Rattus norvegicus: one gene and its partners. The protein of the gene in region 2 interacts with the protein of the main gene of each other region in a pairwise test. Links are inferred from orthologs where the notes say so. Each region holds a gene or a part of one and is shown on either strand. Other genes may lie near its edges. The genes, in order: Leng1, Mtus2, Rab3il1, Dcx, Cdk5r1, Ccdc116 and Ttc23.

Region 1 (4,161 bases), on a different chromosome or scaffold from region 2:
GAATGTGTGCGATTTAGTGTTTGAAAGAGAAAGGAGTAGGGTGCGGGGCACCTGAGTGTTAGAGAGGACTGGATGCCTATGTACAACAGAGGAGAAGTTGGGCTGGCCTGGATGCCTAGATCAAGAGCAGGAGAGTTGCAGTACGAATGCATAGGATCTAAGAAAAGACATCTGGGTTTGGACTCCTGGGTCTGAGGAAGAAGGGCTAGGGTATGGATTTATGGATTTGATGAAGGGGGAGGTGGTATGGAACCTGAACCTCTGGTTTAAGCAAAATCCCCAGACCCATCCAAAGGGTCTGTACTCTTGGGTCTGAGATGAGAGGATAAAGGGTGGCATTCAGAGTCTCAAGAAGGGTTTTAAGGGATTTGGGAATCCTGATAGTGATTTCTTTAATTTACTTATTCATTTAGTTTTATGTGTGTTGGTATTTGGACACATATGTCTGTGTGAAGTAACGAACTTGAGTTACAATCGTAAGCTGCCATGTGGCTGTTGGGTGCTGGGCGTTGAACCTGGGACCTTTGGAAGTGCATCTAATGTGCGGGTTACGAGCCATCTCTCCAGCCTCCTGATCCTGGTTTCTAAGGAGCCATATGATGAAGATGATTTCTAGAGTGATTTTCATTCCTGTTTTCTTTAGCATCCTGATGATGTATACAGTAGCCCTGGCTAACTGTTATGGACGCCTCATCTCTGAGCTCAAACGCCAGATAGAGACGGTGAGCTAGGCTGATTTCCCCAGGCAGGGCTCTCTCTATGAGAAGATGAAAGGGGAACACTGGTGAGGAGGTGTGCTTCACTTTCACTCTTTTTTTGCCCACAGGAAGTACAAAATAAAGTCTTCCTAGCCCAGCGAGCTGTAGCTCTGAGCTCAAGGAATGGAGTTTCCTGATTAGTCTGGCTGGACCTTCAGCCCCTCACACCCATCATAAACTTCATTGACTTCATATACCAAGCAGTGGGGCCCTCTCATCTCTGGAATCAAACCCCACGCCTTCTGCCACCGAATGCCACACTCTCAATTGAACCATGTTAATAAACAATAGCCAAGTCCATTAAGCGTTTTGAAACCCCGTTCTGGTGGCGTGGACGAGGTTTGGGGAGGGGCCAGGTCCATGACGGCTTGAAGGGCTTGGTTGTGTCTGCATAAAGGGATAGACAGGCAAGGCAGATCTTCGCCAGCCTCTTCCTGCAGCGACCGGTCAGGTTACAAATGCTTAGGATTGGCTGAGATGGAAAGCTTCTCAGCCAATCATCTCTAACAAAGGTTTAGGGGGGTGTGGCAATTGGCCCAGAACCAATGCACGGGCTAGGGTGGAACCATGGGGCGGGAGCATCCTCGAGCCAATCGGAAGTGCTGAAGAGTGGGCCTGACAGTCGGAGGTCGGCTTTGGAGCCATGAATATCTTACCCAAGAAGAGCTGGCACGTCCGGAACAAGGACAATGTCGCTCGCGTGCGACGCGACGAGGCCCAGGCCCGGGAGGAGGAGAAGGAGCGTGAGCGGAGGGTGCTGCTCGCTCAGCAAGAGGTAAGCCTGGGGCAGGCCCAGAAGCGCGGCCGGCCTGCCTATCACTTGGTGTCAGGTGCGGCTCGGTGTGTTTGGCGTGTTCGGCGATGTTTCTCTGAAAATCCTGTGCTAACTTCCATAAAACCTTCCTAGATTTCCCCACCGGCGTTGAAGGGGCCATAGGCTAGCACACAGGAAGAGTTGGACAAATATTCTGATTACTTTATAGGTTGCCCGCACAAGTTAATACTGATCACCCACTGTGTGTATGCTCCCTTCAGAGCTCTTGATTTGAGAAATTCCTCTTAGAACATTTTAGAGGGGTGCAGTCACCTTGCTTTGAGTGCCACGGCTTCAGCAAGAGAGCGAAGGACATCTGGAAGCATTATTTGAAACAGGGTCTCTGTTGCTGTACTGGAACTGGCTGTGTACACTAGGCTGGTCTCGAGCTCAGAGATCCGCTTGCCTGTGCCACCTGAACGCTGGTATTGAAGTACACTCACGCATTAACACAGACTTTAATAGTTACTCGATCAGTTTGGTTTACCCTTAAGTTCTTTGCCAATCTGATCATGAATTAGTGTGGGCCTTTAAAATTTTAAAAAAAAAAAAAAGGTGAAGCTTGTAATTACGCCCAGATACTAAGGCTACAGAGAGGGGAGTATTGTGAATTGGAGACTATCCTGAGCAATTCAGACTCTATCTGGAGTCGGTTTGTATTTGGAATGGTGACCTGGAGCCATGCCTTGGGTTCAGATCCTTTGTCCAGAAAGCAATGTTTGGCTACAAGTTTGGGAATATGCACATACTTGTGCTGGGGACTGAACTTCGAACTATACACACTAAGCAGGGGCTCTATAGCTGAACAAGCCACCTCTACCCTATTACTCCAGGCTGGAAAGTCTTCTGTTTTAGGCCAGAGGTCTTCTCCCACCTATCTCTGATAGCCCAGTTTACTGTTTAAAAACAATGGTTCTCCACCCAAAGTTAGAAGTGGTGTCTTTTTTGGCTCCCAATACCTCCATTCCCCCATCTCTTTTTTTCCTTTGATTTTTCAAGACAGGGTTTCTCTGTGTCGTTCTGGAACTAACTAACTCACTCTATAGAACAGGCTCACCTTGAATTCAGAAATCCCCCTGCCTCTGCCACCAGAGTGCTGGGATCAAAGATGTGTGCTACCACTGCCCTCCCTGCCCATGGACCCTTCTTATATCCTCAGCACTTCTGGACTCAGAATGTACTGCCTATAACCCTTCATAGGCCCGTACGGAATTCCTACGGAAGAAAGCCAGGGGCCGAAACTCACTGCCCGAGCTGGAAGCAGCAGACCAGGGAGCTCCATGTTCTGGCCCTGTGGACCTGTTTCGGGAGCTGCTGGAAGAAGGAAAAGGAGTGCCCAGAGGCAATAAAGAGCATGAGGAAGAGAAACGACAGGAAAAAGTAAGCTGGCCTCATTTGTTGGTGGAATCCTGGGGGGATGGGTGGGTGGGGTAGAGACTGGCTGTGACTGTTAGGATATGGTGATAGATGAGTGCATAGAAAATTTAGCAGTGAGAGGTATCACCTACAAGCTGGTTATTGCTATACAACACTTAAACTGGCTAAACCTTTTTCATGGGACTAAAGAAAGTCTTAAGCTATTTTATTTTGAGAGGAGATCACAACTACATAGACCAGGGTGCCTTCCAGTTTTTAATCCCCCTGTCTTGGCCCCCTGGGCCAAGTGTTGGGATCACAGGCACAAACCTCCAGACAGCAATTGTGCTTTTTAAACTATGACTTGTACTGTGGCTCTCCTACACCTCACCCAACTTTGAAGGTGCTGTCTCCCACTGAAAATCACTCCTCTGCTTGGCTTTTCTGTGGACTGTTCCCAAATTAAGCTTCTTCCATCTTCCATTACTGCACAGGCCACTGCATTCCTTTTCTTCCTCCTGCAAATAAGCTCCTGATGCTTTGCAAAGCTGGTTCCTGAACGTTCTTGTAATTTCCCTTGTTAAATGTCTGCCTACCAATCCGTCTCTAGAAACTCAGGCGCTGGGTTTTTCTATTGCCACACCTAGGGCTCCCAGAGGGACTGAAAAGACTATTTTGTTTTCTTGCCCCTGCAGGAGAGACAAGAGAAAGCACTAGGTATTCTGACATACTTGGGCCAAAGTGCAGCAGAGGCCCAAACTCAACCTCCCTGGTACCAGCTACCCCCAGGGCAAAAAGGCTGCCCTCCAGGCCCAAGCCCAGATGAGAAGATCAAAAATCGACTGGACCCCTTGAGGGAGATGCAGAAGCACCTGGGCAAGAAAAGGCACAGCAGCGAAAGCCATCCTTCCAGAGAGGAACGGCCTCCAAAACAACGGCCCAGAGAGTAAGAATAAACATGGCCCACAGTAGAGCAGAGTGAGACTTTGTGAAGATCTAGCACACCAGCCAGGGTACCACAGAAAGGCTAAACAGGTCAGGCAAGATGAAGTGGTTCTTGGTATGCTGTCTAGGGACCTCTGTGGAGACACTTAAGGATTCTAAGAACAGTAGCTTGTATACAGCATATATATATTTTTTAATGTGTATTTTAATGAGTACTTGTTACATGTCTATGTACCACGTAATTGCCGATGCCTTTAGACTAGAAGGCATTGGGGTCCCCTGAAACTG
Region 2 (3,500 bases):
AATAATGAAATTAAAAAGAAACCCCAAAACTGAGCTCTTTTTTCTCCCCTGGAGTATTTGCACCAGCAGGCACCGAAGCTCTTACACCGTCTTCGTACTGTCATTGTAAAGGCGGGGACCCTGGGCTGGGCGTGGCACCAGATCTCTGAGCGAGCAGCCAGTCCTGTGGTGGCGCTTATCATTTGAGTGTGGATCTCCTGCCTGTGATTAGCTCTCTCTGAACTCTCATTTTAGGTCACAGACCACCCTGGGAAAGAAGAATTTTGCTCTCCTCCCTACACCCACTACGAAGTCCCTCCCACTTTCTACCGCTCTGCAATGCTCCTTAAGCCTCAGCTGGGGTTGGGCGCCATGTCCCGACTCCCATCAACCAAGAGCAGGATTCTGATCGCAAGCCAGAGGTCCTCAGCGGGTTCCATCCATCCACCCGGATCAATCGCAACAGCCACCAGTTTCTACGGTTCTGATCCTTCAGGTAATTAAGTCTAACCATGACTCTTTTTTCCTGTTGTGCATTTAAATATCAACTATGAAATATCGTGACTGTCTCCTTACGACTGCCCCTAATAAGAGAAGCCACTCCCTACTCCTCCGTCTGTGTAGACACAGATGTCCTTGAGAATTCACCTGCAGGGGCTCCCATCTTCCACGCCGCTGTCACAAAACATGGGCCCTTGTTACCACCTCCTGGCTTCTTGTGTAAAGTAATATACATGTTACTCTTAGGATAAATGATTTGAAGTTAATTATTGTGTGAAAATATATCTAGACATAAAAAAATGTTTATCTTTTTTAATTTTATGTGTATGACGTATTGCACCACCTGCATGCAGTGCCAACCGAGGCCAGAAGAGGGCATCAGATACCCGGGAATTGGAGTTAACCAACCATTCTAAGTTGTCAGATGGATGCTAGGAATCAAACCCTGTCCTCTGGAGGAAAAACAGACAGACAACTTCTCTTAACCTCTGCACCATCTCCAGCCTATATTTGAATACGTGTGTGTGTGTGTGCACGTGCTAATTTTCTAGATAGTTTATAGCAGCTATTTTGCCCTAGAGTTTCTCGAAAGTCCCATTTCCTCGAAACTATTGGGTTTTACCATTTTATTTTTGAGCCAAGTCTCACACGTGGCCCTGGCTGGCCTAGAACTCACTATACATACCAGGCTGGCCTCAACTGTCACCATGCCCAGTGACCATTGAGATTATTGTCGGAGAGAAACTTTTTCATCTCTTTGCCATGTATTACTTTGTGAATCGTCGTGTACTCAGAGAGTTACTGATGGCCCTATTTATTTGTTTTCTTTAATAAGCTTCTGTATTGGTGATTCCCACAGTAGCTGTGTATCTTAATAGAATTACCTGTGCTTAGAGCCGGTACAAGTCTGCTGCTTTTCAGTTAGTAGGTAATGATTTCTGGGGGGCTGTCAGCCCAGCTTGCTGTGTAGGGACAAAGAGATCAACACACAAAAATATCCTTGCCCTCTGGGAGCTTACATTTTAAAATATGGGGATGTTTTGTTTTAAAAAAAAAAGCCAGTAAATTACACGGTCTGTTGAAGTGAGTATTGAAGAAAAAGAAACATTAGTGAGGGAGGAGGGGGCCTTTGGAAAAGAAGGAAGGGCGTTGTCTCTTTAAACAGTAGCCAATCCCCAGGGAAGATGAGGGAGGAGCTGTAGTAATTTTTTTTCCCTTCCTGGTCCCATGCTCCTGGAATAATGACTCCAAGATTCAAATATTTTTATAAATACCTAAGCCAAAAGCTTTGGCTGTTCCCTGCTGGTTTATAATTTAATAATCCCATTTATAATTTAATAATCCCATTATTGTCGTCTAAGCTTGGCCCTCCCCCAGAATCCTTCCTGCCTGTTGGATGTCCCACCTTCTAGTTCCTGCCTCAGCTACAGGCCAATCAGCTCTAATTGACAAGTGTTGCATCCATACAGTACACAAGAGATTTTCTTTGCCGGAGAATCCTGGAGGACTTCTGAAGTATTGCTTTCCAGGAAGTGGGAGGAGCCAACGCAAAGGCCGCTGGGAAGCACGGGACTGAATGAAGGGGAGAGTGGCAGAGGAATGGGATGGGGACAGGGAGGGAAGTTGGGGTCAGATAAAGTCTCTTTGCAGGGATTTGACTCTTCCTGTGAGAGGCAGCTGTTGGAGGACTTGAAGCTGGCACACAGGGCACAGTCCAGCTTTTTCTTGTTTAAGCACGATCTCCTTGCCTATAGGGAGGAGAGCAGAAGGTCAGATAACCTATATCATAGGTCATTTCTGGAGTCTACTGAGTGTGTACTCACACGGTCTCTTCACTTGGGCTATGGAACAAATTCAAGCTTGTGTGAGCTGTGAGAGTTTTGTTTGTTTTTGTCTGCCTAATAACATCTCAAAACTTTGTTTTGTCCACCTTGTAAGGCTTTCCACGTTACATCTACAGACTGATGATAAACATTTAAAGAGTGCGTCTCAACCTACCAACGCTGAGATTCTTTAACACAGTTCCTCAGGTTGTGGTGACACACCCCCCCCCCCCCATTTCTGAACTGTAATGTCAATATCTGTGTTTTCTGATGGTCTTAGGTGACCCCTGTGGAAGGGTCCTTTGATTACCAAGGGGGTCATGACCCACAGTTTGAGAACCCCTGATGAGAGCTTTAAGCGACTCTGATGCAGATTCTTAGACATCCCGTTCTCAAGACTCCCTTCTCTCTGCCTCCTCCAACCTAGATGTCGATCGTCCAAAGCCCTCACCTCTGTGCCTCCTCCATTCGCATTCCTCCTTCAAGTGCTGCAGCCTGGAACCTGCCCTCTGAGTGGGCTTTCTCCCGTTCTTTTCTCTCAAGGGTCAGGACCCTGTGAGGGCTCCTGTGCGGTTCCTGAAGTCAGTGGCTGGCCTTTGCCCACATTTTGATAGTTCTTGTTTCCCAGCTGTTCACAGCATGCCGCTGATGCCTCTTGGGTAGGATGTCCCTTACATAATCACAGAAGCTGCTAGCCCAGCCTCCTATGGCTTTCCTGTGTCTAATACAAGGCTTACTCATCTGTGTTTACGCTTTTAGTTCCCGATTACCACGTGGGCTTATTTGCGCGATGTTCGAAGGCCCTCTTTGATGCATGTCTGTCCACGGTTGTGGTTTTGTGTTTAGCCGTCATTCATACTCGATCGATTCAGATACTCTGTCGTGTCTCCTGGGCATTGCCGTATCTGTTTTACGGGGCTCTGAGCAGCACCGCACTGTCAGAAGAGAGCCGGAGTTAGGAGCAGGATGCACGCTTCTCTGAGTGACCGAGCATTTACATGTTTCCAATGTCAAGTAAACACTTACATCCTAAAATCTACGAATAGGTTAGATACCTGAGTTCTAATACACTAGCTGGATGTTTCCCAGCTCAGGTAGGAAGCCTCTTAAATGCCTAATAGCCGTGAGCTCTAAGTGAGTCAGGAGAGGTCCCCAATGTTTCCATTCCACTGCTGGTTTTGCAGGCAGCACCAGGTG
Region 3 (3,500 bases), on a different chromosome or scaffold from region 2:
CATGGTTACCACAGCCTGGCAACCAAACATCCCCACAGTACCTGTCTCCTTGCCCTTGGAACAACCTCTAAGACATCTATTCTAAGTGCCAGTTTGTTTTTTTTTTTTTTTTCTTTTTTCTTTTCGGAGCTGGGGACCGAACCCAGGGCCTTGCACTTGCTAGGCAAGCGCTCTACCACTGAGCTAAATCCCCAACCAAGACATCTATTCTAGAGAGAGGGAATCCAAGGCTGACAGGAGACATGGCCTGCCTCAGGCCACACTGTGAGACTCTGCTGGAAGCAGGCATCTAGGAACTTCCTAGAGTTCCTGCTAAGTATTCATGGTTCCCCAGAAGCAAAGAAAAGCGGTCCCAGCTTCACATTTACTGATCGGCCAGCAGACGTTCTGAGAGAGGACACTCCCTGCCTGTGCTCTACCGCCATGGCCAACATTTCTACTTTGGAGGCAGGAGGAGACCTGCAATAACCACTGGATCCTCCTGGGCTCCAGAGGACCCTAGGGAAGACAGTGGTGCACCAAGAGCACTGATGGAGTCTGGTGCCATGGGCTACTTAACTTCAGACCCACCCTACCTGTCCCAGACCTGGGTTCTCCTGTTCCTGGTAGGTCTGACAGGGACCTGCTGCACGCCCTTGCTAGCTGAGGGTTGTACACCCCATCAGGGACTATGACAGGAGCCATGGGCTGGCCTAGGCACACAGGGATGGGTCTCACCTTGCCCCAAGCCTCCTTCAACTGCTTTTCCGATGCTGCCTGCTTCATGTTGGCTTCCCGAACCATCTTGTGAGCTTCCTAGAAGGGCAGCATCTCTGCATGAGCGGTCACAGGACACTGGACACATGGGCCACCCATTCCCAGGCCGCCCAGCGTACCTCAAACAGGCTGGCCGTCAGCTCCTCCAGCTCCTGCTCCAGCTGTGCGCGCACTTTGCAAAGCCGTTCACACTCTTCATCCTTAAGCTTCAGCTCCTGGGTGCAGGCAGGAGGCTGTTAGCCTGCTCTAACCAGGTCCCCAGCCACCAGCTCTGGGACTGTCACCAGGTATCTGACACTCGATGGTACTTTAGCCCATGCGCAAGTTAAAACCCTATCCTGGCATCCCATCCCAGCTGGAAGAAGACTTCCGGGTAAGTCAGGATGTGTGGAAGTCACTTCAGACTTCTGAGCCTTCAGCGACAGAGGGCATGCCTAGCGTGCTTGAAGCCCTGGGTTGAACCAGCCTCTTCCATTGGGTTCCCAGGACTCCAGCATGGGCCAGGCTTTGACAAGTAGTTTCTCCTCTCCCTTCCTTCTACAGCTATCTGAGGTCACTCAGTGTAGCTGCTCTACCTCAGTCCCCAACCCTGCCCTGGAGCACCCACCTTCTGGGCTTTGTATAGCTCCTCCTTTAGGAATTCAGAGCCCTTCTCTCGGATCTCCATGGAGGAGCTGCGCAGGCGTGATACATCCAATGGAGCAGCTGCTGGGTGTTCCTCACCCCCGGCCTCCTCCCAGGAAGCAGAGGCTTCTACCAGGCCTCCTGGGGACTTCCTGTTACCTTTGCTGGGGCCCAGGTTTTTCCAGGGGACTGAAATAGCTGAGAGGCCCACAGGGAGGCCCTCGTCTTGTTGGGGTGGGCTGCAAGGCAAACGAGGACATAAGCATACACAGGGTAAGGACTCAGGACCTGCAGAACTGAGCCCAGGGACCAACCCCAGGACACATCCCTGTCACGTAAGCCTCAGTCTGTCCATCTGTAAAATAGAGCCACTATAAGCTGTAACTAAACCGTAACTGGACTGTTACAAGGGCAGAATGACCAAGCACGAACTTTCTTAGGGGCCAAGGCAGGACTCATGTACCTTTGTTACCCACCATCCCCACCCTTGGGCACAGGGCTTGGTACACAGCAGGCGACCACCACTTTGTTGAGCAGACGAATGGATATAAATGCATCGGTCCTTACACCATAGATAGGATTGTCCCAATGATTCTAACTCCCAAGAGTTGAAGGGAATGGGCAGAAAACCTTGGCACAGCAGAGCCAATTAAATGGGTTTGTTAAAGCGAAGCAAATGTTATCAATGACAAAGCATTGTTAGTGGACATGTCAATATGATAGAAGTCCACAAGGCGGACTAGAGAGGAAGCACCAGGCCTCAACAGGCAGGAAGAGCCTACAAATAGTCCAGGCATAACAGACCCACTTCCTGCCACCCCTGGATTTTGTGAGGAGCAAGATTCAACTCTCCCTGGCCTTCTCTGTGACTAAAGACAAACACACCCTCCTCTGGAAGCCTCAGGACCCTCCGCTTGCTGAATCGGAAGCCCCTAGATGGACTAGGGGTTATGTCCTTAATCAACCCCCACCTCCAAGCTACAGCACACCCTAGAAAGCAGACCCTGGAGAAGGAAGAGAGGAAGGTCTGGCCAGTGACCGTTTGTGCAGAAACAGCGCCTCTGGCTTTGCTAGCTCAGCAAAAATCTGGGGCTCCTGAGCCAGCAGCCTCAGAGCAGCAGTGGCTTGGCGGGTTGGGGGGGCTGGGCTACAGATAACCGTGGGGAAGTGAGGAGGAGGGGCTCAGCCAGGCCTGCACTGGAGGAACAAGGCCAATGAGACTGGGCCTTGGAATAACTGGGAGGAAATGCTGGGGTTTAGCCTCTCTCTTGTCCCCAAGCCCCTGAGAAGCTCTGAGCCTCAGTTTCTCTCTGAGTAACACAAAGAAACTAAGCTCTCAGAGACCACGGCAGTGAGTGAGCCCACTGCCAACTCCTTTAACATGACCCTGGCCACTGCCTAACCCAGCCTTCTCTCTGCCCTGGAACAGGCCTAAGGTATAACCTTGAGGCTCCTGGAACTGGGCTCTGCTTGGCAGAGACTGGGCCTCATTGAATATAAGGTAAGGGCAGAGATTCACCATTCCACCAGTGTGTGTGACAGATTTTCCTAATACCATTTTTTGGGGTGGGGGAGGGGGTCTTGTTGGCACAGGGTTCTTGAGGTCTGAGGCAACCCTATCAGTGCTGTGGCAGCCGTATGGGATGAGAACTCTGCCCAGGGACTGGGAGTTTTCTCTGTGTGTCAGTGTCTGTATGTTTGTGTTGGTACAGCCATGTCTATGCACATGCATGTGGAGGCCAGAGGTCAACCTTGGATGTTGCTTCTCTGGAGTTATCACAGGTCTCTTACTGGGATCTTAGGTTGCCTCAGTTGAGTGGATAAGGAGCCTTGGGGCTTCTCTTGCCTCTTTCCCCAGGATGATGATTATAAGAGTGTGCCACCATGCCTGGCTCAAACTCAGGTCTCCATGCTTGCATAGCAGCATGGCTTACTCGTGCCTCTGTTTGTGTGTGTGTGTGTGTGTGTGTGTGTGTGTGTGTGTGTGTGTGTGTGTGAAGACTTATTTGTATTTATGTGCACATATATGTCCATGGATGTTACATGTGTTTGTACTCATAGGGACCAGAAGAAAGCATTAGATCCCCTAGAGGTAGAGCAGCAAGCAGTCCTGTTGTTCT
Region 4 (4,048 bases), on a different chromosome or scaffold from region 2:
GTGTTCATTAAAATACCAGACATACCTACAGCTTTCCTTCGTATCTGTCCCAATGATCTCAGCCCCATGGACACGCCCGTAAGTGAGCTTTTCCAAAGCAACAGCTGAGCAGCAACCACTTACCTAAAAGTCTAATCCTCTGCGAACATATCCAGGGATTCCTATATCGAGGCATGTATTTCTAATGACTGGCAATTCCCAAATAATTTCCCAGTGATTCATAGGAAATGTGGGCACAATTTTTATCTGTTAAACCAACCATACATTCTTCCTTCCCCTAATGGTTTCGTGGCCTGCTCTAATGGTGCTACCCAGGGTTACCTATGAACACTATCTAGAGTGAGTGTCACAATTCAGATTTCCCTTTGTATACCTAGGCAGATAAGCACATTTAGCATTAGCAGACCCACATACATTTCAACCACAGCAGAGATGGAACCCCACAAGGAATGACAGTTAAGGGTGTCTTTGGGATCAGAAGCCTGAGCCATCCGTCAACCTGATGTTTTGGCAAACAAATAGCCAGTTTCTTTCAAGGAAGACTAAAAGTATAACCAGAAGCAGGGATGTCCTTTCCCTCCAGGGGCTACCACCCACTACTCGCTACTTAAATTACCTTCTTCCAGTTCATCCATGCTTCCAATCTTTCTGGATCCATCAATAGTGTAAATGTAGCGCACTCCCTGAGGCAGGTTGATGTTGTCGGACAAGGATCGAGTCAGGTCAGCCAGCAATGCATCAAAACTACGAAAACGGTCAGAAGAAACAGCGTACACAATCCCCTTGAAGTAACGGTCCCCATTGCGGTAGAAACGTACCTTCTTGGCCTTCTTCTCATTACTTAATGCCTGCAAGGTTCTGGTTCTGTAGAAGCTACAGTGAGCACTATGAGTGGGACTTGGAAGTCCATTCATCCGTGACCCTCTCATATTTCTAGATGCTTTGTCTCGTTCGTCAAAATGTCCAAAATCAAGTTCCATATTTTGGTGGAACCACAGCAACCTGATTGTTAGGAAAAGGGGCGGGGATAAGGAGAGGCAAAGAATAAGGAAGGGTAAGGGGAGAAAAGAATTAAAATATTAGCCAGATCCAGAGCTGCAATCTGCTGCCTGTGAAAAGAACTGGTTGAAAAAAGCCTGAGACCCATCTGCTGCTTGTCCCTGACCTGCAGGAATATTGATCTTAATAGAGTAGAAGGAGGGGGCTGGGCAGTGGACTGAGGACTGAATGGTGGGAAGGGGGATAGGAGAAAGAGATAGAAAGGGTGGCACTTCTGGCACTGTTCCAAATTTGGGAGGGGGTGTTGAAACAGCTTAAAAACCTGGAGCTTCCTGACAGTGGCTCCTATCAAATTGTAACTTCGGGCAAAATACATTAAAACTGGCATCTGCTACTTCACACATGGCCACATGACTAACAGTTGTAAATGAATCCATAGCCTGACAAAATCCCCTCAAAGAGAAATAGAGGGAACTAGCCAAGGTTAGCATCTCCAGCATAGGAAGCAGTCTTTACAACCCAGGACAATGACTAGTATGGGGGTGTATTAGTTTTATTTCCAGTCCCTTTTTTCCTGCTCTAATATGTGTATCCCCTCCCCCAGAATAAACTAGGATTCTCTTTTAAAGGGACAGCCTCCAGGGAATACCCAGTGTCTTTGTGCTATTCATCAAACCCTCTCTCCATCAAGCTGGTGCTGCTATACCGCATCCATAAGAAGTAGGCTGGGGTCTAAAAGGGGGGAGGGATTGTCAAAAAACCAGTTATTTAGCAAGCTGTTAGCTCTGCTTTCCTCTTGATTCCATTTGATCACAGAATCCTTTTTCTCCTTTCAGGTGCTTCATCCCCTCCCCGACCAATGCAGCGATATCTCTTAATGAAATAATTGGCGAAAGATTCCCAAATGAGTCCCTGAATAGCATATGGGACCTTTACAAGCGAGGACACCTTTCATTGTTCTGGGTTTCCTCCCCTGACTGACAGAACATTTTGTCCTCAAAGCAGGCAATTCACTTCAAACTTGTCTATTGCTTAGGTGAATTAATGGGGGCAAAAGAAAAAGGTCATCTGTAAAGCTTGGATTTCCACCCCCTCTACCCCCCCCCCGAGCCCATCCCCACCAGGAAATAAAAAAGAACGCAACAATGAAAACATGCAACCAAATAATATAACCAAAGCCTCGACCGCTTACAAAGGTAATAACTTGACATCCAAGAAACCAAACTATTAGCATTCATCTCACAGATGGAGGAAAAAGACTCACAAAGCAAGAGGACTCAGCTGCAATACACTGCCACATCAAGATTTGCAAGGAACCGGGGAGACAGGAGATAAAAGGGGGCTGGTAGCTGGTCTATTTGCCAGGTTCGGTCCCCCCTTTTTCTCCAGTGTCACCATGACCTATGCTGAGCTCAGCATTGTCTCTGTCAGACAACCTGCAGTAGTAAGACCCCACCTCCTCAAGATGAGTAGCAAGCATTTTCCCCAGGCAGGCTGTGCAAATAAAGATACGCTTTAGAATCCGAAGTGCTATTATTCTAAATTAGCATCATAGTGAAAACAAAGAAACAACAAACTCACTTTTCCAAAGGAAAATCCCAGGTAGAATCTTAGAGGACAAAAAAATCCTACAGAATAAGGCAAATAAAAGAGAAGAAAGAGGCGGACACACAGAGAAAGAAAGGCGTGTGCCTTGTGCTTCTCCCGTTTGACATCTGTTACATTCTGCTTGAAAATCACTCGAAAGCCCCACTCACCGGTTTTCTGCTGGTTGGGTGGAGATGCTGTGAGAAAGAAAACCAATCTCTCTATGCCTTTGTTGTCTGAGCTCCAAGCAAGAAATTCCTGCCAGGGTGGATAGTTGCCTTCTAGGTCCTAGTGCCTTGTCCAGCTTCTCCCCTGTAACTGAAGCTTAGCGAACACCCCCAACCTCCTATGATTAATTACATGCTTTTTTTTCTTCAATTCACAGCCTGCATTAACAGCTAGAAAGGTTTCGTTTATAACCCACAGGAAATTGCAGGGTAGGAAAAAAAAAGGATTGCACAGGCAAGCTCAGAATGCTCTAATGAGCAATGTGCTAGCCCTTTCTCTTAGAAAATTGGCAATTTTACTTGGCTAAAAATCCTTGGCCTAATCTGCCTAGTGGCTGGACTCAGCAGGCCAAATCAAGTTTCTTAGAAATTACAGCACTCTTCATTTTACCTTCTTTGAAGAAAATAAAAATTTGTAAATTTTCTGACATTTGAGCTTGCGCATCCGACACTGTTTTTTGTTATTGTTGTTGTTGTTTTTGGTTTTGTTTTGTTTAATGAAGTCAGCGGGTATGGCAAATTAATAATACAAGGGGAAATAGTTGCAGAAATCATGAAGGCTAGAATTGAAAAGTGGCACTCCTCCAAGTTTTTGTTCAGTTGTTTTATCGAGCCAGGGTCCAGCTTTATAGTCATAGCTGTTCTGGAACTCACTGTGTAGCCCAGGCTGACCTCTAACTTGTGGAAAAATTTCAGCCTCTGTTCTGCTTCCTTGCTACTAGAATTTGCCAGCACTTAGGTCCCCAAGCCCAACATGTCTACAAAACATTTTAGACTGATGTAAAACATCGGTTAATGTTTCACCTTCCTACTCCTGGGCATATACCCAAGGGAGACTATACCCTACCATAGAGACACTTGCATATCCATGTTTATTACTGCTCTATTCATAAAAGCCAGAAAATAGAAACAGCCCAGATGTCTGCTAACAGATGAATAGGTAATGAAAATGCAAGATATATGCACAATTTTAATCATCCATTGGTAAAAAGTAAAATTATGAAGAAATTGTGGGGAACTGAAAATGTTATACTGAGTGAGGTATTCTAGGCTAAGAGAGACAAAAGGATTTATTTTCTCTCATATGTAACTCTCTCTTTCTGTGTGTGTGTGTGCACGTGTGTGTGTGTGTGTGTGTGTGTGTGTGTGTGTGTGTGTGGAGAGAGAGAGAGAGAGAGAGAGAGAGAGAGAGAGAGAGAGAGATCAAAAAACATGAAAGCAGCCCATAAGAAGAG
Region 5 (2,951 bases), on a different chromosome or scaffold from region 2:
AGACAAAAGGACGGGGAGGGAGCTCCATCCTGCCAGGAAAGGAAAGAAAGCCCTTCTCTCTGAACAGCAAGCAGCAGACCAGGGCCGTGCGCGGCCAACAGTCACCAACAATCTTTGCACCAGACCCACTCCCAGGCGCCTTCACTGATGCCCCGGGGCAGTGGAGATCTTGCCACACCAGAACGGCTGGCTGCAGGAGCCTTTGAGAGAATGAAACAATACCCAGAAAAGGGCTGGTTCCTCCTGGGCCACCAGCCTCGGGGCTCAGCTCAGATCATGGGACAGCGGGAAGCCTCATCTACCCTGGATCCATCGTGGGTACAGGTGACGTAGACGAGTCAGTCCCTTGAGCCCCGGAAAGAGAGTGGTCAGCAGCCGAGGTGGCTCTGAATGCATCTTCTGGGTTCCCACAAGGTTCATCAGTTCGAAAGTCCCCAGAGTTCTTGAAAGGGCTAAAAAAAAAACCCAAGGAAAGAACGTGGGAAGAGGCCCTTGGTGGCTCTGCTAGACACATACTGTACACAAAACTTGATTCTTTAATAATAAATTTTAAAAACGAATGGAATCCTTGAGCCAGGATACCAGCTACAGGGGCTCACCGATCGAGCCCCAGGAGGAGTCGCTTCTTGTCCTCCTGACCACTCTCATTCTTCAAGTCAGAGAACACTTGTGTGAAATAGTGTGGGTCAGCATTGATCTGCAGCATCTTGGAGCTCATGAGGTTGATAACTGAGAGGCAACGGTCCCAAAAGGCTTCCTTGCAGCTCTCCACCAGGAAGGGCTTGAGCGGGTAGGAGATTTCATTGCCCATGTAGGAATAGGAGAGGTACAGACAGGTCAGCAGGACAGCCTGGAGCTCGTGGTCCGAGCCCACCTCAGAGGAGATAACATCCCTGCAGAGCATGTAGAGGAAGACCACATTGGCCGGTGTGATGAAACCCTGGTCCTGCCATCCCTGCAGAAGCAGGGAGCGGTCCACGCTGCGCAGCCAGAGCACGGGGTCCGTTGGGGACAAGTGCTTCAGGCGGTAGCACCGGCGGCAGAGAAACTCACCCAGGCAGCGCAGCAGCTCACTAGTGGACGCCTGGACGATGACCCGTTTGGGTGTTCCTGCGGAGGTGATGGCAGGGTGCGGGGCCTTCTTGACAGAAGAGGAGACCCCAGTCTGGGAGCCAGAAAGCTGGCTGGCTGGGGGTGCGGGCGGCTGGGCCGGCGGGGGCTGGGCGAACGTGGACAGGTTGGCACACGACAGCGACTTCTTCAGGTTCTCATTGTTGAGGTGCGCGATGTTGCTCTGGTAGCTGCTGTTGGGCTGCGCCTTCTTGGAGTTCTTCTTCTTCGCTGACACCGCCACGATCCTCTTCCAAGGCAGTACCGAGATGATGGAGTGCCGCTTCAGGTTCTTGTCCTTGGCGTTCTTGCTGTTCTGCACGGCCGTGTAGTGGCCCACGGTGGCCGCGCCATCCTCAAACAGTGTGGCCTTTCGATAGCTGGGGGACAGGGACAGCACCGTGCCCATGGTGCCACTGCGCGCCCGGCAGGGGCCGGCACCCCTGCGCGCCCAGCCTGCCGGCCGGAGGGAGAAAAAGGCTTACCAAGCCTGTAGCGGCCGCAGAGAGAAAGGAGGCGCTCCCGGGACACGACGCGTGTAGCCCTGCGGATCTGCGTGGAAAACAAGATGGTTCTCAGCCCCGGGCGGGGCTCCGCGCCGCGCCCCTCCGCCCGCACTTCCGAGGCCCGAGCCCCCCGGGCTGCGGCCCCGTGGAGCCCCAGCCTATGCTTCCACTGCGGCACCAGCCAAGCGCCGCAGCGGCCGCCGCCGCAGGCGTCCAACCAGGCCGCGCACACGGCCCCGGTCCGCGGAGGCTTACCCGCAGGCAGGCTCCCCGCGGCAGGCGCAGCCGCTGCGTCCCAGACCCTCCGCAATGCGCGCCGCGGCCCCGGGGCTCGGCGCGGCTCGGCGCGGCTCGGCGCGGCGGCGGCGGCGGCTCTCAGCTTCTGTCCAAGGTTCTGCAGGCGCCGCGGCCCCGCCCCCGCCCGGCCCCCGCCTGCGTCTCCGCCGCGCACCCGCCGGCCCCGCCCCGCCCCGCCCCGGCGAGCGCCCCCCAAGCTGCCTCTCCAGATTGCGCGCGCGGTCCACAAGCCCGCTCAGTCTCGCCGCACTCGCATCTTCAGCGCGAGCGGCGCACAATGGCGCCTCTAGTGGGCGCGCCCCATACGGGTCGCAGCGCGGGCGGCGGGAACGCGCGAAGCCCGGTCTCCACCTGGAAGCCGCCGGCGCCGCGCGGCGCAGCCCGGCCTCCTGAGCCCCGGAGCCGCGCAGCGGAGCTCGCTGGGCGTGCGGGCGAACGGGCGAGCGGGCGGGGCGGAGGGCGGCCCCGCCCAGACACGTGCTGCCTTTGTTCCCGCCGCGGCCCCCTCAGCGGAGGCTGCGGGCGTTGTGGAGCTGGCCGGGGCTCCCACAAGGGAAAGCCGCATCCCGCATCGGCGTAAAGGCCCGGCACCCATCATGACTCTAGAAAGCCAGGCCAGAAGGGCGAGGGCGGCCTAGAGATCCCGTCAGGACAGCTGTCAAAAATCAAAGCTGCTGCGCCTTCAGGCCAGTCTCTCATTTGCCCGTTTTAAAATTTGATGACAGTAAAATTGCAAAATTAAATACGTAAATAAATAAATCTGGTTCTGACTAGCGACGCATAGTTCACAAGCAGCCTCCATATCCTTCACAAAGGCCACTGCTTATTTACAAGTCACTCATTTCGGACTGGTTCTGGAGACCCATACTGTCAAACAAGCCAACCTGTATCTTAACTCAGACTCCCAACTCCGAACCTAAGAGAATTCCTGACAACACCTGCAACGGTTGAGCAAACTACCCAAAACAAGAATCTTGTTGAGGTCATTAGGTGAAGTACTTCCAAGTTAGAAAGTGCCAGTTTCTTTTTGTACCCAAA
Region 6 (4,050 bases), on a different chromosome or scaffold from region 2:
GTTGGAGCCTGGCCTGCTCTGGTTTCATCGATCCTATCTGATCCCTGCATCACGGGAGAAGGGAGAGAGTTTGATTATAACAGTACCTGATGGGGTTGGGGATTTAGCTCAGTGGTAGAGCACTTGCCTAGGAAGCGCAAGGCCCTGGGTTCGGTCCCCAGCTCCGAAAAAAAAAAAAAAAAAAAGAAGAAGAAAACAAAAAACAAAAAACAACAAAAAAAAAAAAACAAAACAAAAAACAGTACCTGATGATGCTTTGTAATGGTTGGAGGCCTCGGAGAACGCTTCAGCCAAATTCTTGGCATAAACACTGCTGTGTCTGATCATAGTGATTGCTGAACCATCCAGTGTCATTCAACCACTGGGCCTCTCTGAGAAGCTGCTCTTGGGAAGGCCAGAGGCCATGGGACCCTGAGAACCACAGATTGGGAAGAGAAAATTAAGCATTTACTTTATGTATGAGGAATGGAGTTATTAGGGACTAGGGTTCACTGCTTTGATTCCTGCCCTACACGGCCTAACAGTACAGCTGTTAGACAAGAAAGAAACAATGTGGCAGTGGAGGATGGACTTGCTGTGGATATGTTGGCAATGACAGGCTTTCTAGGATGAAGGGAGAAGGAAAACTGTAGAAGTGAGTTTATATGGACTTTAAGGTGCAAAATGTGTTGTAATACTCATTTGTGGAAGGGTGCTCAGCTCCATTATGAGGAGCTGGTGTTAAGGGACTAAGTCATATCAGCAAGAAAAAGCAGGGACAGGAACTAGGCTGTGCAGAAAACCAGGACTCTTCACTTAAAAAGGAAGATGAGGGGCTAGTCCACGCTGCACCAATGAGGGAATGGGGTCCTAAGAGGAAGACAACGAGTAGGAGGTCCAGGAATGAGCTGAGGAAGATGTTTGAATAACAAGTTGAGGCTATCACTTTCACCCTGAGGATTAGACAAGCCCCAGATTCAGACCTCTTGGCTGAATAAAGTCTTATCTATAACCATCCCCAAGCGCTACTTACTTAGCTGGCTTGACTTAAAAATCCAGCAAGGTGGGGGAGGAGCCAATCTGGGCCCCTCCCCCAACCATTGTGTCGGGGAGGATAGTGAATGAGAGGCCAGATTCTGGCCAATCAGGATGAGGTATGTAAATGAGCATCCTGGGAGGCTGCGAGGGTAGGATTCCAGTGCACTGTGCGGTAGAGCTTTAAAGGGTGCTGAATGAGTGAACCCCTAGAAGCACAGCAGAGACTCTGGTAAGCAGGTTGGGGGCTCCAGGATGCCTCAGGTCTGAAAGAAAGAAGTCTGGACACACATTTGGACCCAGACACAGTTGCAAACAAAAGGCAGTGACTTGGGAATGTCCACAGATAAGTGACCAGTCCAAGCAGGGAAAGTTGGGACGTCTGGAGGACACAAGTACAGGGAATGAGGGGTCCATGGAGGCCTGGACCTAACTTTACTTCCTCTCTCCGCCCCATACAGAGGAGTCTGCATCTGTGCTGTAGGACCTGAAGAAGGAAGCAGAAAACAAATTTAATTATCCACATCATGGCAAGGTGCCGCCACCACTCAGGTTATCTGGCTGACGACGAGGCTGCTCACGGCACCTATGTGGCTCGGGTAAGTATATCCAGCTGACCCACCACTTGCTGCTGCTTTCTCATGTCCAGCTGATCTTACTGGGTCACTTGGTGAAATCCTTACTGTAGCGTCGCCTTACCTTATGCCTGCTTGCTGAGCCACTCCCCTTGGCCCCAGATAGTACTTGGGTGGACCAGGAGCCCTGAGAAGGAGCGTACAGGACTCAAGCTGGAGACACAGAATCGAGTCCTCAAGTGTAGCACAGCAATGAAGACAGTGTAGACCTTTGCTAGAGCCTGAGGGCGGAGGGCTCCCATAATTGCCTTTTCATACCACGAACACAGAACTCCACTTTCAGACTCCCAACTAGGGCTGGCATATATGAAATAGAGGCATTGGGAAACCTTCAGGGCAACCCTAATAGACCTGTAATTTGAAGAGAAGCCCTCGAAAAGGGCTGTTGTGAGCATAGTCATAGATCCTGAAGATAGCAGAGCTGGCTGGGATTCAAACTCAGGATTACCCGATTCTAAAATGTAACTCAGGGCTGGTGAAGTATCTAAGTGGGTGAAGGCACTTTGAGTCAAGACTGATGATCTGACTTGGGGATGATCAGTTTATCCCCAAGATCCACATAATAAAAGGAGAGAACCAGTCACACCAAATTGTCCTTTGGCTGCCATACCTGCACTGAGGCATACCTACATGCACATGTACCCACAAGTAATTGTTGAAAAAAATTTTAAGTGTAATTTAGTGGCTGAACATTTGCATATCATGTTCAAGACCCTGGGTTTAATTCCTAGCCTCGAGAAACCTTAAAGAAAAAAGTTTTCCACTGTTCAATACCAACCAGCTCCTAATGGCACCCCGGGAGGACTGCTCCTCACCCATTGCAGGGCATCCTGCCTGTTATGACAACCCTCTCTGTTCCAATATAGCTGCCCAAGAAGCATCTGTTGCCAGAGATGAGGCCAACTTGCAAGCTTGGGCGTGTACCACACCTACCATCAATGAACCGATACTCAGAGCGCCAGGGCCACCAGCAAAACCTTAGGCGCCCTCGGGCATTTGGTGGCTTCCTGGATTTCCTCACGGAGGGTCAGGTACTGGACAGCTTGCAGACAGTCGTGGAGCAGGCAACAGAATGTGTGGCTACCATGAAGACAGAGGCTGGAGTGCCACTGGTGGATGTACAAGACCGAGTGGAGGTGCCAAATAGTAGGCATCGTTCTCGAGGCAGACCCAGCATCAACACTGTGCATCGGCACCGTGCTCGGCCCACGCTGTGTGCTGGACACCCAAACAATTACCCATCTTGCTCCAGCTCCATGTCTGACTCCCATAGCAGCGTCACAGCTGGATGGCTGGGGTCCCGCAGCCAAGACAGTGACCTGGGTGCCAGAGGCGTAGGCTCATTGCCACCCATGAGGGACAAACTCCTGCTTGAGAAAAACCTCAAGAGGCTGCTACGACTGGAAAGCAAAGGGGTGAGGTCTGGTGCCATGGCTAAGGCTAGCAGAAGGTGGGCGTGAGATTAGCGGCTAGGGCTCCGCCTGCTTGGATCCCTCTTAGCTTTTCTTTCTCTTTGCAGAAAGTTCTGAATCAACACTGCTCCCAGAGGGATTCCCTGCTATGGGACTCACTGGGCAGCCAGAGCAGCAGTCAGCCGACCCGGGAACAGCCCCTGTCTTGGTTCTCTGGGCTTCTGGCCTCCACTTCAGTCACCCCTGAAACTTCAGAGTTGGGACTCGGAGAACAAGAGATGATTTTCCTCAAACAAGAATTAAACAAGGAGATAAAGTCACTGCTGAACCAGCCAACCTCCTTCAACCTGCCTACCTATTGTCCACTCAGGGAACCCCATCGTACCCTGGATTTCCTGTCTGAGCACCACCTCTTTCCAGCCCTGCAGCGTGTGGTCAGCCAGGCTGTAGACAAGCTGAGCCATGCCTGCCGCCACAATGGCTTCCCCCTCTTCCCTGTTACCTCAGAGCTGTCTCCAGTGTTTCCTGGGAACTCCGATCTTCAACCCAGCTCTAAGGCTTCCTTACCCACCGACAGGGAGGCTAGGGGAGAGACTTGTTATTCTCCCACCTCGGCCTCCAGCCCTAAGACATCTCACAGAAAAAGCAAGGACAGAAGGGGCTCCCCATCTAATGCAGTCCAGATGGCTACCAGATTCAGGCTCAAGGTGACACCTACAGAAGTCTCTAATGTCCCTATCCCCTCATCCCAGTGCATGCTGAAGTCTCCTAACTCTGACCTCAAATTGCAGAAACAAACTACAGCCTCAAACCACAACCATATACCTCAGCCCCGCCATGGCCTGCACCTCACCCTGCCTGCCCCTGGGATCACAGTGGAGGTGGCCTCCTGCCAGGGCCAACTCAGGGGCCAGGTCCAGCATAGTCTTGCCACTCCCTGCCATCTCCACTCCCATTTCCCTTTCCCTGTGTTCTCCCCATTCCTTCCC
Region 7 (3,500 bases), on a different chromosome or scaffold from region 2:
CCTCCTAGCAGCCAGAAAGAAAGGAGAGAGAAAAGAAGGGAGCCAGGTGCACACCCTCAGTAGCATGATTTCCTTCAGTTAGATTCTCTCTTAAATGTCTCACTACCTTCTAATAGTTTCACAGTCTGGAAACCAAGCCTTTAGCATGTGAGCCACTGGGAGGCAATCTAGACCCAAACCACAGCAGCTCCCAGGGTCTCTGACTCCTTTTTCTGTCACCAGCTGGAGAAGATTCTCTATGGTCAGAAAAACCCTAGGTGTCTGGCATAGTGGTGCCAGCACTCTAGAGTGCAGAGGCAGGTTGATCTCTGTGAGTTCAAGGACAGCCAGGGCTGTCTCAAAAAACAAATTAATAACAAAAGCCCATGTGATTCAGTGGTGCCCAAGAGATGTCACTTTCTAAAAGCCAGCAGAGACCTGTGATCTCACAGCACACTCAGGACTCTGGCCCAGAGCCACAGGGATGAGTAGCAGTGAAGTCGCCTTTGAAGCACCATGCTGGCCTCTTACCAGCAGCTTCACTCAGCTTCCTACCACAAACCAGCCTCAGGCCCCATCCCCAGTCCTGATCAGCCTGGGAAACCCGGGTGCTGAGTGGATACACTGTTTCTAATAGGTCTGTGGAGTGCTCAGCCACTTTCCCTTGTTTGCCACAGTCTGGCTGTGGCCCTCCTGAGGCCCTTATACTAAAGGCTTGGCCCACAGCCTGTGCTACTACTATTGACCAGCCTCAGAACCTCTCAGCGGTGACGTCGGGAACCCCGGTCCTTCCTGATTCTCCCCACTTCTAGTTACCATGACATGATATTACAGGTTCTCTTAGCCTCGGCAGAGCAGAGGCAACAGTCACTGAGTCATAGACCGACACCTCCGACAACATGAGCAAAACATGGCCTTCCTCACTTTAAGTTGCATTAGATTAGCTCAGGCATTTGGTATAACAAGAGGGCTGTCTATAGTCACAGTTCTGGTTTTTAATTTCATTTTCATTTTCCATGCCTGGGCTCTTCCCTGTCCTGCTTTTATGGTTGTCATTTACTTGAAACTTTTTGTTTTATTAATTTGTGTGTTTAAGGGTTTAGAATGGTTGGGGTTCTTCAGTAGTTTATCAACCAGACTTTTTTTTTTGTCTTTTTTTTCTTTTGGTTCTGTTTTGTTTATTGGTGTGTGTGTGTGTGTGTGTGTGTGTGTGTGTGTGTGTCCATGTGTGTCCATGTGTGTGTTTGTGTGTGTATGTGTGTGTATATGTGTGTATGTGTGTGTATATGTGTGTATGTGTTTATGTGTATGTGTGTATGTGTGTTTGTGTGTGTGTATATATGTGTTTGTGTGTGTGTATGTATATGTGTGTTGTAGAAATATATAACAAGATTACAGTTAGAGTCCATAAAACTGCGTGAGCTGTGAAGAGTGACTGATGTCTAAGCAGAGATAATGCACTCTCACTCAACATGACAATACCCTAATGTGTCCTAATGTGCTCAGGTCTGGGGACAGTTTCTCCTTTCTCACCCCATTAATTTTGCTTTGTATGTCACAAAGAACACTAAAAATAAGGAAAGCAGGTTGCAGTCTCCTTCTGAGACTTAAATAATCTCTGCCAGCACAGGCAGGATAGTGGGCCCCAGAGAGTCCCTTGGACTGACGTCTCTTCTCCAAATGCTCGTGTTTTAAATGTTTCACTGTCACTAACAACATCTTTGCTCCATCTCTGCTTGGGTCTTTCAGCTGTTTTCAAAATTGTTGTTCTATGCTTTTCTCAGATGTGGCCGAGAAGTATTTTCAGGAAAGCATGACTTACCTCAAGGATTCCGAAGGAACAGAAAAAGCCAAGTTCCTTTCGATTCAAGATGAATTTTGCAGTTTTCTGCAAACCATTGGACAAAAAGAAGTAAGTGAGTTTAGATCACAGTTGTCAAGCTATTCACATGGCACGCCAAAGACTTCTTCACTCTGCCAGCATCTACTGAGCACCTACCATGTACAGAGTGTGTCCTAGCCTTGGAGGGACCCAGGTAAATAAATGAGGGAGCCGCTCTGGGCAGCAACCAGATACTTTCTCTTAGAGACAAAACTGTGAGAAAGTAAATGGTCCATCCAACTCTGAATGATCACCACTGAGGCTTAAAAACCGTGAGCACCCAGTGACAGAACCCTTCTCAGGACAGCCTGTGGTGCCTCCAGCTGGGATGCCGTGTGGCAGTCGGTGCAGCCAGCTTTTCCCTTCTCATTCTGAGCACTGAGTGGGATTTTTACATAATGGAAACTACAGAGCACATCGGTTTCAGCTCTCCCTCCCCACTGCTGGCCTGGAACGGCGGCACGCTCGACATCACTTAGAGAAGGGGAGCAGGGCACTTACAGGTGCCAGAGCCTATACCCACTGTGATATAATGCCAAGGAGCATGTGCCCCGCAAACTGTAACAGTTCCAAAGGGAGACCGTAGATACCTCAGAGGCTGAGGGAGAGAGAGAGAGAGGGAGAGAGAGAGAGAGAGAGAGAGAGAGAGAGAGAGAGAGAGAGAGAGAGAGAAGCGCAGCCCAGCACAGCAAATCTTGGAGATGAAGAAGATGGAAAGTGTCTTTCCTGTGTTGTCTGGAAACTTGCTCCCACAGCGCTCTCCTCATCCACAGCGCTCTCCTCATCCCTAGTTTCTTTTCTGTCAGCTAAGGAACATGACTCTTCTTCTCTACTCACCCGAGTCCGTCAGGCCGGAGTAGATCCAGAGTCACTATAGCAAATAGTGTCTCACTGTTCTTACGAATCGCCCAATCAAAGATAGAGAAGGCCCTGCTAGGGGATCACGTAACAGAGATAGAGGACCATGGCCTTAGATTCCCACCCTGGACGCTATCTCGGTCCTATGGGAACTTTGAAGCTTCCTCACTCACTTCCAGGTTTCCTTAATAGACACCTGGTTTAACCCTTCCCCTCCTGCCAGGCTTCATCTCTTGTCAGGACCACTGTGGCACCTTCTCTTCCCCAGGGGCTTCGTCCTGTCTTGCACTTGTCTGTCTATTCAGTCTAGCGCATCTGATCGATGGACACTCGTTGGCCCTCCAGTGAGTGCAATGCCCTCACGGCAAACCCCACACTTCTAGGCTCACTTTGTTCCTTCCCTAAGCTAATTGCCTGCAATCAAAGCTTTTTTAAAAATCTTAAGGCAGGTGTGGGTTTACACAATCGTGTGTGTACAGGTGCATGGGCACACATGTGGAGACCAGAGGACAAGCTGTAGATGCCATCCTCAGGAAGCCCAGACACATCCTTTATGACAGGGTATTGCAACTCACCAAGTAGGCTAGACTGGCTGACCAGCAAGCCCCGGGGATCCATTTCTCTTTGCCTCCCTAGTTCTGTGATTACAGGTGCCTGCTGCCACACCCAGCATTTTTATGTGGGTTCCACGGACTGAACTCAGACCCTCGTGCTTGAAAGTACAAAGACTGAGCCATCTCTCCAGCCCATACTGACTTTTTCTAAAACACGCACGTGCACA

What was found.
Region 1: the proteins of Mtus2 (region 2) and Leng1 interact in binary tests that used the Homo sapiens proteins (3 or more experiments, as listed by UniProt). The two-hybrid records come from large-scale screens. The link is inferred for Rattus norvegicus from reciprocal best matches to the Homo sapiens genes MTUS2 and LENG1.
Region 3: the proteins of Mtus2 (region 2) and Rab3il1 interact in binary tests that used the Homo sapiens proteins (3 or more experiments, as listed by UniProt). The two-hybrid records come from large-scale screens. The link is inferred for Rattus norvegicus from reciprocal best matches to the Homo sapiens genes MTUS2 and RAB3IL1.
Region 4: the proteins of Mtus2 (region 2) and Dcx interact in binary tests that used the Homo sapiens proteins (3 or more experiments, as listed by UniProt). The link is inferred for Rattus norvegicus from reciprocal best matches to the Homo sapiens genes MTUS2 and DCX.
Region 5: the proteins of Mtus2 (region 2) and Cdk5r1 interact in binary tests that used the Homo sapiens proteins (3 or more experiments, as listed by UniProt). The two-hybrid records come from large-scale screens. The link is inferred for Rattus norvegicus from reciprocal best matches to the Homo sapiens genes MTUS2 and CDK5R1.
Region 6: the proteins of Mtus2 (region 2) and Ccdc116 interact in binary tests that used the Homo sapiens proteins (3 or more experiments, as listed by UniProt). The two-hybrid records come from large-scale screens. The link is inferred for Rattus norvegicus from reciprocal best matches to the Homo sapiens genes MTUS2 and CCDC116.
Region 7: the proteins of Mtus2 (region 2) and Ttc23 interact in binary tests that used the Homo sapiens proteins (3 or more experiments, as listed by UniProt). The link is inferred for Rattus norvegicus from reciprocal best matches to the Homo sapiens genes MTUS2 and TTC23.

The regions. Positions count from the first base shown.
Region 1 is NC_086019.1:74,465,982-74,470,142, forward strand, and holds the start of Leng1 (leukocyte receptor cluster member 1), read left to right. Parts: upstream 1-1,361; 5' UTR 1,362-1,401; coding exon 1,402-1,533; intron 1,534-2,772; coding exon 2,773-2,952; intron 2,953-3,623; coding exon 3,624-3,874; intron 3,875-4,161. Other genes in the region: Tmc4 (transmembrane channel-like protein 4), read left to right, coding at 644-722, 827-895.
Region 2 is NC_086030.1:11,968,004-11,971,503, reverse strand, and holds part of Mtus2 (microtubule-associated tumor suppressor candidate 2), read left to right. Parts: intron 1-234; coding exon 235-475; intron 476-3,500. UniProt on the Homo sapiens protein: Binds microtubules. Together with MAPRE1 may target the microtubule depolymerase KIF2C to the plus-end of microtubules. May regulate the dynamics of microtubules at their growing distal tip.
Region 3 is NC_086019.1:216,094,404-216,097,903, reverse strand, and holds part of Rab3il1 (guanine nucleotide exchange factor for Rab-3A), read right to left. Parts: intron 1,620-3,500; coding exon 1,364-1,619; intron 972-1,363; coding exon 876-971; intron 796-875; coding exon 718-795; intron 1-717. UniProt on the Homo sapiens protein: Guanine nucleotide exchange factor (GEF) which may activate RAB3A, a GTPase that regulates synaptic vesicle exocytosis. Promotes the exchange of GDP to GTP, converting inactive GDP-bound Rab proteins into their active GTP-bound form.
Region 4 is NC_086039.1:112,301,362-112,305,409, forward strand, and holds the start of Dcx (neuronal migration protein doublecortin), read right to left. Parts: upstream 2,801-4,048; 5' UTR 2,757-2,800; intron 2,746-2,756; exon of another isoform or gene 2,581-2,745; intron 2,461-2,580; exon of another isoform or gene 2,264-2,460; intron 1,003-2,263; 5' UTR 981-1,002; coding exon 617-980; intron 1-616. UniProt on the Homo sapiens protein: Microtubule-associated protein required for initial steps of neuronal dispersion and cortex lamination during cerebral cortex development. May act by competing with the putative neuronal protein kinase DCLK1 in binding to a target protein.
Region 5 is NC_086028.1:65,980,766-65,983,716, reverse strand, and holds Cdk5r1 (cyclin-dependent kinase 5 activator 1), read right to left. Parts: upstream 1,679-2,951; 5' UTR 1,520-1,678; coding exon 596-1,519; 3' UTR 501-595; downstream 1-500. Other genes in the region: uncharacterized protein Cdk5r1l, read left to right, coding at 1,679-2,203. UniProt on the Homo sapiens protein: p35 is a neuron specific activator of CDK5. The complex p35/CDK5 is required for neurite outgrowth and cortical lamination. Involved in dendritic spine morphogenesis by mediating the EFNA1-EPHA4 signaling. Activator of TPKII.
Region 6 is NC_086029.1:97,348,527-97,352,576, forward strand, and holds the start of Ccdc116 (coiled-coil domain-containing protein 116), read left to right. Parts: upstream 1-1,250; 5' UTR 1,251-1,360; exon of another isoform or gene 1,361-1,364; intron 1,365-1,473; 5' UTR 1,474-1,541; coding exon 1,542-1,613; intron 1,614-2,515; coding exon 2,516-3,064; intron 3,065-3,168; coding exon 3,169-4,050.
Region 7 is NC_086019.1:130,717,917-130,721,416, forward strand, and holds part of Ttc23 (tetratricopeptide repeat protein 23), read left to right. Parts: exon of another isoform or gene 1-1,763; coding exon 1,764-1,891; exon of another isoform or gene 1,892-3,500. UniProt on the Homo sapiens protein: Participates positively in the ciliary Hedgehog (Hh) signaling.